2 linked regions of the Bombyx mori genome follow. The protein of the gene in region 2 interacts with the protein of the main gene of each other region in a pairwise test. Links are inferred from orthologs where the notes say so. Each region holds a gene or a part of one and is shown on either strand. Other genes may lie near its edges. The genes, in order: vesicle-associated membrane protein-associated protein B and phosphatidylinositol-3-phosphatase SAC1.

Region 1 (4,586 bases), on a different chromosome or scaffold from region 2:
CGCAAATATTTGCCCATAGTATATTGAAATATACAGTAATATGGTATTCTAGTACAGTATATGATTCTAATAAATAATATTAATAAAATTATAGTTACTAATATTTATTGTGATACTGTATCAATGGATAAAAATAAACTCCCTATTACTATGAATGAATTATTTTACTAAAGCTTGATTGCCAGATTTTAGAATAATAGTAATTTAAATCTGTTACTAATAATAGTCTTTGATATTCGAAATATTTTTATTTATTTATTGCCAATATCACAGTCCCAAAAGTATCCAGTTAGTTTGTTGTACATAGACCCTGATGTGAACTCAGGCAACAAGAGAGATGTGAACTCAGGCAACAAGAGAGATGTGAGGTTCTAGATGGGATGCACTACTCAACAATATGGGCATTACAGCATACTTCAACATTCAACATACTAGTTAGCACCCCTGACAATTGTGTCGAAGGTTGTGTTGAACAATCTTGTTTGCTCTTTGTCTAAGTGTTTATTATCTGTATTTGTATATATTTAAAAACAGGTAACCATGTTTGTCAGTCTCTGGTACCCATAGCACAGGAAATCCTAAGTCGGAGCCGCATGACCATGCATAATTTGTTCCCAGTTTTTATTTAAAATATTATTAAATGTTTTTAGTTTATAAAATAAAATATTTTAATTTAGGTACAAGTTACAAACAGTAATCCAGTCTCAATCTAGGACTTCCTGTACTATGGCACTCAGAGACTGATTTAGATACTAATTTATCTAAATATATAGATATTCATCACTGAGAAATATACATAATTTCCAAAAAAAACTCAATATTTTTTATTTCTATTGCCTTTGTAGGCAGAACATCTGGCCCACATGGTGGTGAGTGGTTAACGTCCAAATTGGTCAGCAATGTCTAGGGCAAAATCAAGTTCCTGCATACAAATTTAGCTTATTATCGGCCATTGTGTATTAAGTCTAGGGAAATTGTTATCAATGTTTATTCTTCTGACTACAAATACACAATATTCCTGCCTATTAGAACTGATGCTTGCAAAACAGATAAAGTATCTTAATTAATGGAAAAATAAACAAAGAAACTACAAGTTTAAGGTAATGACTACTACAAACACATTAACGTTATGTTTTGTCATTTTACCCATTAGCTGTTAACTTATTAGTCTAATTAAGAGACCTATATACATACAATTATTTTACTATGAATCAATAATATTACTGATAAAATTAATTAGTCAAGATTACAATGATATAATATATATATGAAGTTGCACAAAATAAGCTAAGAGTTTTCAGACTATACAGCAAAAAAAATTAAACGTCTATTGCTAAATAATTCATGTAAATTCTTAAGTTATTTTGTATATGTTTAAAATGAAACTACATTTACTGTGAATTTCTATCCCCGATTCACTAGGCTTACACGCTTCTCAGTAGTCTACTGGGCCAAGGAGGCTGCCTTAAATAGAAATTGTACTAAAAATATGCATAGCTGTGCAATGAAGATATGAAACAACCACAAGCTTGTGGTCATAGTAATATGTTATACCTGTGATTGTAACAGCAACGTAATGTCCTGTAGACTAAATAGCTAGTATAAAAAAGATCTGGTTCTAATGTGTTCATTCTCACTTTCTATTCACACAAACGTAAAGTTTTATAGTTTATAAATGAAAACTTGTTTTACTTCAATAAAATACATACAACTTAAATATTAGTCAAAGGTCAAAGTTGAAATATAGTGACAAATTATAACTGCATTTAGAATATAAATAAGTTACCAGTTTTTAGTGTTGCCTCTTTCCTAACAGTAGTCTTTTTGGTTGCTATGTATGTTTTTTCATCACATTTACAATCATATTAAAATTAACTAAGAATAGATAGTCTTATCTGATACTACTACTGACTAGACATTCATTTTGTTTCATGTAATAATTTCAAAAATTTCAGTGCCTATTTAAATTATGTATATTCAAGAGCATCAGATTAATAAAGAAATACCAACATCACTAGTTTATTTTGTTTAAATACCTAACACTTTCTAAGATAGTTACTTTTCAATGAAACAGCCTGTACTAATATAATTAAATACAAAGCGTATGTATCGCATATTATAGCTAAGCCATTTATGTTTGTGAAAATGATCTCCAGGAACCACAGATATATTAATATGACTAGGACTCATTTAAAGTTGATAATATTAGTAATCGGAATAAATACATACTCTACTTGGATAATATACAAAAGATAATGAAAAAACCGGAACTTAACAAAAAGCCGATATCTGGAAATAGAAACTCCATTTGTCAGCATCTAGCTAACGACCTATGTCTGCTTCACAAGTTTCAATGCGGCGATTAATAGCGTAAAGTTAATCAAACATTGTGATTCTCACCTTTAAATTTTAATTCATTTTGTGGTTCGATAGTTAGCACTTGGTTAGGCATTTTATTGTACTATAAGCACAGTATCTCGTTGGCAAAATTTAACAGATTGAGAAAAAATATCTTTCCGCGATGTCGGCCAAAGCGAACGAGAATTGTGGAATGACGAATAGACATGCGCAGAGCACTGCGCATGCGTTGTCTCTTTCCTTTCGAAGGCGTATATTCTGAGAGCTATTTGTATTTTATGAATAGAAATCAAAAAATCACAATTAATGTAGGCAAAGGTAAAATGAACTAAATATGCGCAATAAGTTTCTAGTAAATATTTTTAGGCAATATTTTTTTTTATAAATTATGAAAACTAAGAAGTAATTTCTATATTTTTAAAAGGTTTTCAGAATAGTTACATTCAATATAGATCTGTTTTGTGACGTCTACGATTTCACTGCGTGCGCAATCTTTTCAATTTCCTACTAAATCCATTGAAACTATAGAACTTAATTATTTCTAGATTAGGTCGAACCGTTCCTAGTTCTTTTTATGTTGGTAGAAGTCTTGTAGGCATATGAAAATTAAATGCCGCAGAGAATGACGATATAAAAGAAAATATGAACTATTTAAAGTAAATTGATCTTTAGAGTTTAATAATCTTTCACTACCAGTTAGTAAGTGTAAGTGATTATGTTCTCTTTGTTATTGAACCAGGTTAAAAACTGCTAAGTAACTAATTGGAGAATAATAGTTAGTAATGAATATACTAATTTGAATATACTAATTTGAATGTCTAGTTACCATCGTAATAATGGTACTACAATATTTCTTCCTAGTTGTAGGTAGTAAAATTCTACACGACCAGGAGAAGAAAAACAGGCACTACCTACAACATTTAAAAAAAATACATGTCTCAAATAAAGAAAAGTTATTTAGATAGAACAATACTGTTGCTTGGTCACATGCTAGGAATACCAAGCAGTATTAGAGTGTCGAAAGACATAAAGAATACGTTCATGAAACTGACTAGATTAACAAACCTTACAAAAACTTGACGGACTGTATTTGACTTAGTTTTAATCTAATTTTACATAATATATTTCATATTGCTATGTTAATATGATTTTGATATATAAATTCAATTTTTATTTTAAAATTACTTATTTAGCTTAAATTTAGTTATCTGTGCTTAAAGATCGTTGAATTTTTAAGCTATTGCATAGATTTTATCGCGGGCCTTGAGCACGGCGATCGAATCATGAAATTCCGTAACGAAAAAAACCTTACACCCCTCACTCCGCCTACCATGTAGCTCGCGTTCAACACATTCATACGTTGCGCTTGTGTAGTGTTTGTGAATAAGCGCGTGGCGTGACGTCACACTGCATGCGCATGTGTGTGCATCATTAAATTATTGATTTCTTTTTTATTTATTTAGACATATGATTTTTTTAAATTTTGTACCAGTGATTGGATTCTTTGCATAAGCCGACTTCTTGAACTACTTTATACTTTTTTCTTTGCATAGATGGGTGGACGAGCTCACGGCCCACCTGATGTTAAGTGGTTACTGGAGCCCAGATACATTTACAACTTTTTTTTGTTTGTTTTATTGTATAGATGGGTGGACGAGCTCACGGCCCACCTGATGTTAAGTGGTTACTGGAGCCCAGATACATTTACAACCTTTTTGTTGTTTGTTTTATTGCATAGATGGGCGAACGAGCTCACAGTTTTCTTTTATATCGTTCCCTCACTACTGAGGATCGCGACCACATGCGATGTACTTCCAATGCACCCGATCATGGGTGGCATGGACTGTATGGTACAGACTACCACCGAGTGCTTCTCTTGCTAGATCTGACCATCTGGCTGGTGTTCTGCCCAACACAACTCACAGCCTACCTGATGTTAATTGGTTACTGGAGCCAGATACATTTACAACTTCTTTTTTAAGCTATTGCATAGCTTCTATCGCGGGCCTTGAGCGCGGCGACTGAATCAAGAAACTCCGTAACGAAAATAACCGAACACCCCCACTACGCCTACTATGTAGCTCGCGTTCAACACATTCACACGTTGCGTTGGTGTAGTGTTTGTGAATAAGCATGCATGCATGCGCATGCTCTGCATGCGCATCATGAAAAGTCTGCCCATCTCTCTCTCACGCGGTCTAGCTTAGGAGTGTGAAGGGGACAGTTAA
Region 2 (3,830 bases):
GTGGAGAGTATTAAACGGTAAGCAGCGGCCTGGCTCTGCCCCCGGCATTGCTGAAGTCCATGGGCGACGGTGACCACTCACCATCAGGTGGGCCGTATGTTCGTCTGCCGACAAGGGCAATAAAAAAATAAAAAAATAACTCTGATTTGCATGGAATTTTTTTTAATGCTTTGATGGATGTACGAGCTCACAGCCCATCTGGTGTTAACTGGATACTGGAGCCTATAGACATCTACAAGGTAAATGCGCCACCCGCGTTGAGATATAAGTTCTAAGGTCTCAGTATAGTTACAACGGCTGCCCCGCCCTTCAAACCGAAACGCATCACTGTTTCACGGCAGAAATAGGCGGAGCGGGGGTACCTATCTGCGCGGACTCACAAGAGGTCCTATCACCTGTAATTACGCAAATTATAATTTTACGGGTTTCATTTTTATTACACGATGTTATCCCTTCACCGTGGAAGTCAATCGTGAACATTTGTTGAGTACGTATTTCATTAGCAAAATTGGTACACGAGGAATTGGAACGATTGCTTAAGTTTGCCGCTAGGGGCGCTGTTCCAACTGCATACAAAGTTGAGTTAACTTTTACGCTATCGACAACGTTAAAAAACTCGCACTAAGTGAACGAAGAACTAGCGAGCCGTACGGGGACGCGCGAGGAGCTGCGATAGATCACCTGTCCCCCTCGGTCCGGGGAGCGCGCGGCGGGTGCGAGCGAGATGGCTACACGACGACTACGAGCGGCAGGTCATCGATCATAAAGACTGCTGGGCGGCGAGGGCGCGCGCCGACGCCAGGCCCCCGGCGTCCAGACTCGGCCAGTCCACGAACTCCGCGCCGTGCCTGCGAGACACGAAACATATTATTGTAATGGGTGTTAGGAGACCTCTTCCGAAAACAGACGATAATAATAATAATAATAATTTTTGCAGTAGGCAGCGGCTTGGCTCTGCTCCTGGCATTGCTGAAGTCCATGGGCGACGGTAACCACTTACCGTCAGGTGGGCCGTACGCTCGTCTGCCTACAAAGGCAATAAAAAAATATTTCTCTCTTAAAGGTATAGGTACAAATACAAATGGAAATTAACCTTATAATTTATTTTGTAGGCCTTTGAAAGAGCTGAAGTCTGCACTAGGTTCGAATTCGATCGAATGTCAATAGAGATACCTGACGATGTAGGAGAGCGTCGCTCCAGCAGCCGCCCCCCAGAACATGAGGTAGAGCAGCACTTCGCTGGAGTAGCGCGCCGGCAGCACCGCTTGGGCGCAGAACATTGACATGGCAACCAGCAGCACGGAAGGGAGCTGTCGCAACAACATTATAATCATTTAATGACATAATCATTTACTGGTGGTAGGACCTCTTGTGAGTCCGCGCGGGTAGGTACCACCGCCCTGCCTATTTCTGCCGTGAAGCAGTAATGCGTTTCGGTTTGAAGGGTGGGGCAGCCGTTGTAACTATACTGAGACCTTAGAACTATATCTCAAGTTGTGTGGCGCATTTACGTTGTAGATGTCTATGGGCTCCAGTAACCACTTAACATCAGGTGGGCTGTGAGCTCGTCCACACATCTAAGCAATACAAAAAAAAGTATTATTAGCACAGCTTCTCTGCTTGTAAGCCCGAACGCATAATCTTCCAGGGCGGAAACATGCAGTAATGTAATAGCCAAGGGCAGTATTGTAATTTTACTGTAGGCTCCACTATTACTGATACTACTTTTTTTATTGTTTAGATGGGCGGACGAGCTCACGGCCCACCTTGTGTTAAGTGGTTACCGGAGCCCATAGACATTTTTTTTGGTACCATTTTTCCTTATTGAGATAGGCAAGGGGATCTAAGCTCTTACAGTCTTTTCTGTTCTATATAATTTCTGAAATAAATTTTTAAAAAGGCAGAACCCAAGTCTTGTATGATTTATATTATGTCCTGAAATAAAAAAATAATTAAGGCCGGCCCATAGACATCTACAACGTAAATGCCGAGAGACACACCTTGAGATATGAGTTCTAATATCTGGCATAACATAGCTGATGGCATAGCTGATATCCATGAGCAACGGTGACTACGCTGGAGATCAGATGAGTGGTATGCCTATCTGCCTACAAAGGCAACAGAAAGAAACTAGATTTAGGAGAACCAGAAATCCTCTATCTCCCAACGCTAGTCTTCTTCAGACCCGTGATAAAGAGAGGCAGCCATTCGATTTGTCGGATTATCGAGATCCTCAGTTAAGGAACCAACGAAGTGGTGGTAGGACCTCTTGTGAGTCCGCACGGGTAGGTACCACCGCCCTGCCTATTTCTGCCGTGAAGCAGTAATGCGTTTCGGCTTGAAGGGTGGGGCAGCCGTTGTAACTATACTTGAAACCTTAGAACTTATATTTCAAGGTGGGTGGCGCATTTACGTTGCAGATGTTTATGGGCTCCAGTAACCACTTAACACCAGTCGGGCTGTGAGCTCGTCCACACATCTAAGCAATAAAAAAAAAGGTATATAATCATTGTTCATCATCCTCGAACTACCATTATTGTTACCAAGAAAAATCATTTTCTTAGTATTTGGAATAAAATGACGGTACTTTTATAATGAAATTGTTTTTTTCATACATTTATAGATTAAAACACTTAATTAATTGATAAGCCCTATTAGGAAAAGACAAGAGAGAGGTTAAGTAAAGAGCGAGATAGCTACATTTTAAAATCAAAGATGTCGAATGCGTTTAGGAATTGGTTTGATATTTCACAGAATTAAAAGTGGCGGTAGTTAGAAATAACGAAACGAGATATTTACCGTGATATATTTCCAGTCGTGTCCTCTCCTCAGAGGGCTCGGGGCGGCCAGACCCTCGCCCTCAGCGACCACGTACTTACCCAGGAACAGATCTATTGAGTCCTGGGAATTAAACAATCAAACTTTATAGGATAAGTATATTATATTTATAGGGTAGTACGTACTATTTCTTTCTTATTATTTTTCAATGAACTATATCTAATAATGTATCGTATATAAAAATTTAAGCCTCCGGAACCATTTTAATATAAATTTTATTGTTATTACCCTAAGTAAAACCGCTGAAAATTTGTGTTGGAATTGGAAAGCATCCCGATTCCCCACAATCTACTGTACAAATTGTAACAGTATTCCATAAATTGTAATATATTTCTGCCTATTTTAGCCGTGAAGCAGCAATGCGTTTCGGTTTGAAGGGTGGCGCAGCCGTTGTAACTATACTTGAGACCTTAGAACTCATATCTCAAGTTGGGTGGTGCATTTACGTCGCAGATGTCTACAGGCTAAAGTAACCACTTAACACCACAACTATGAGCTCGTCTACCCATCTGAGCAATAAAAAAAATTTTGCAATTTTGAGAACCGCGGAATGGAAACCAAATAAGATGGTGTTTGATATACTGTCGACAATACGTTCCCTCGCCGTTTACATCAGCGTCGGGAACAATTTGGGACTCTCAATGGCGTCTCAGGAGACGCTCTGGAGGAGCTATTGGCGGCACCTGTCTGAAGCCGTCGCTGAAGTTGTTCTTGTAGTATCGCGTGAGGGAGTTGATGCCGTCGCGCAACAGACCGACGTGCGTGCGCTTGCCGGTGCGCGTGTAGTCCGTCTTCAGGGCGCCCGTCCCGGAGTACTGCGTGGAGATGGCGTCCGCGTGATCCGCCCACACCTGACCATCGAACACTCATGCTTACATCATACTCTAGTTCAGCGGTCGGGGAACCGGGGTAAATTACCCCAAATTGGGTAAAATGAAATTTTGGGGGGTAAAAATGAAACTTTTGCGAGTAAAAAATATATATTGAAGTAA

The links.
Region 1: the proteins of phosphatidylinositol-3-phosphatase SAC1 (region 2) and vesicle-associated membrane protein-associated protein B interact in a two-hybrid assay, tested with the Drosophila melanogaster proteins (2 studies listed by BioGRID). The link is inferred for Bombyx mori from reciprocal best matches to the Drosophila melanogaster genes Sac1 and Vap33.

What each region holds. Positions count from the first base shown.
Region 1 is NC_085107.1:10,902,484-10,907,069, reverse strand, and holds the start of vesicle-associated membrane protein-associated protein B, read right to left. Parts: upstream 2,835-4,586; 5' UTR 2,453-2,834; coding exon 2,401-2,452; intron 1-2,400.
Region 2 is NC_085126.1:9,640,071-9,643,900, reverse strand, and holds part of phosphatidylinositol-3-phosphatase SAC1, read right to left. Parts: intron 3,690-3,830; coding exon 3,522-3,689; intron 2,902-3,521; coding exon 2,800-2,901; intron 1,311-2,799; coding exon 1,174-1,310; intron 849-1,173; coding exon 761-848; 3' UTR 1-760. UniProt on the Drosophila melanogaster protein: Phosphoinositide phosphatase which catalyzes the hydrolysis of phosphatidylinositol 3-phosphate (PtdIns(3)P) and phosphatidylinositol 4-phosphate (PtdIns(4)P). Has low activity towards phosphatidylinositol-3,5-bisphosphate (PtdIns(3,5)P2).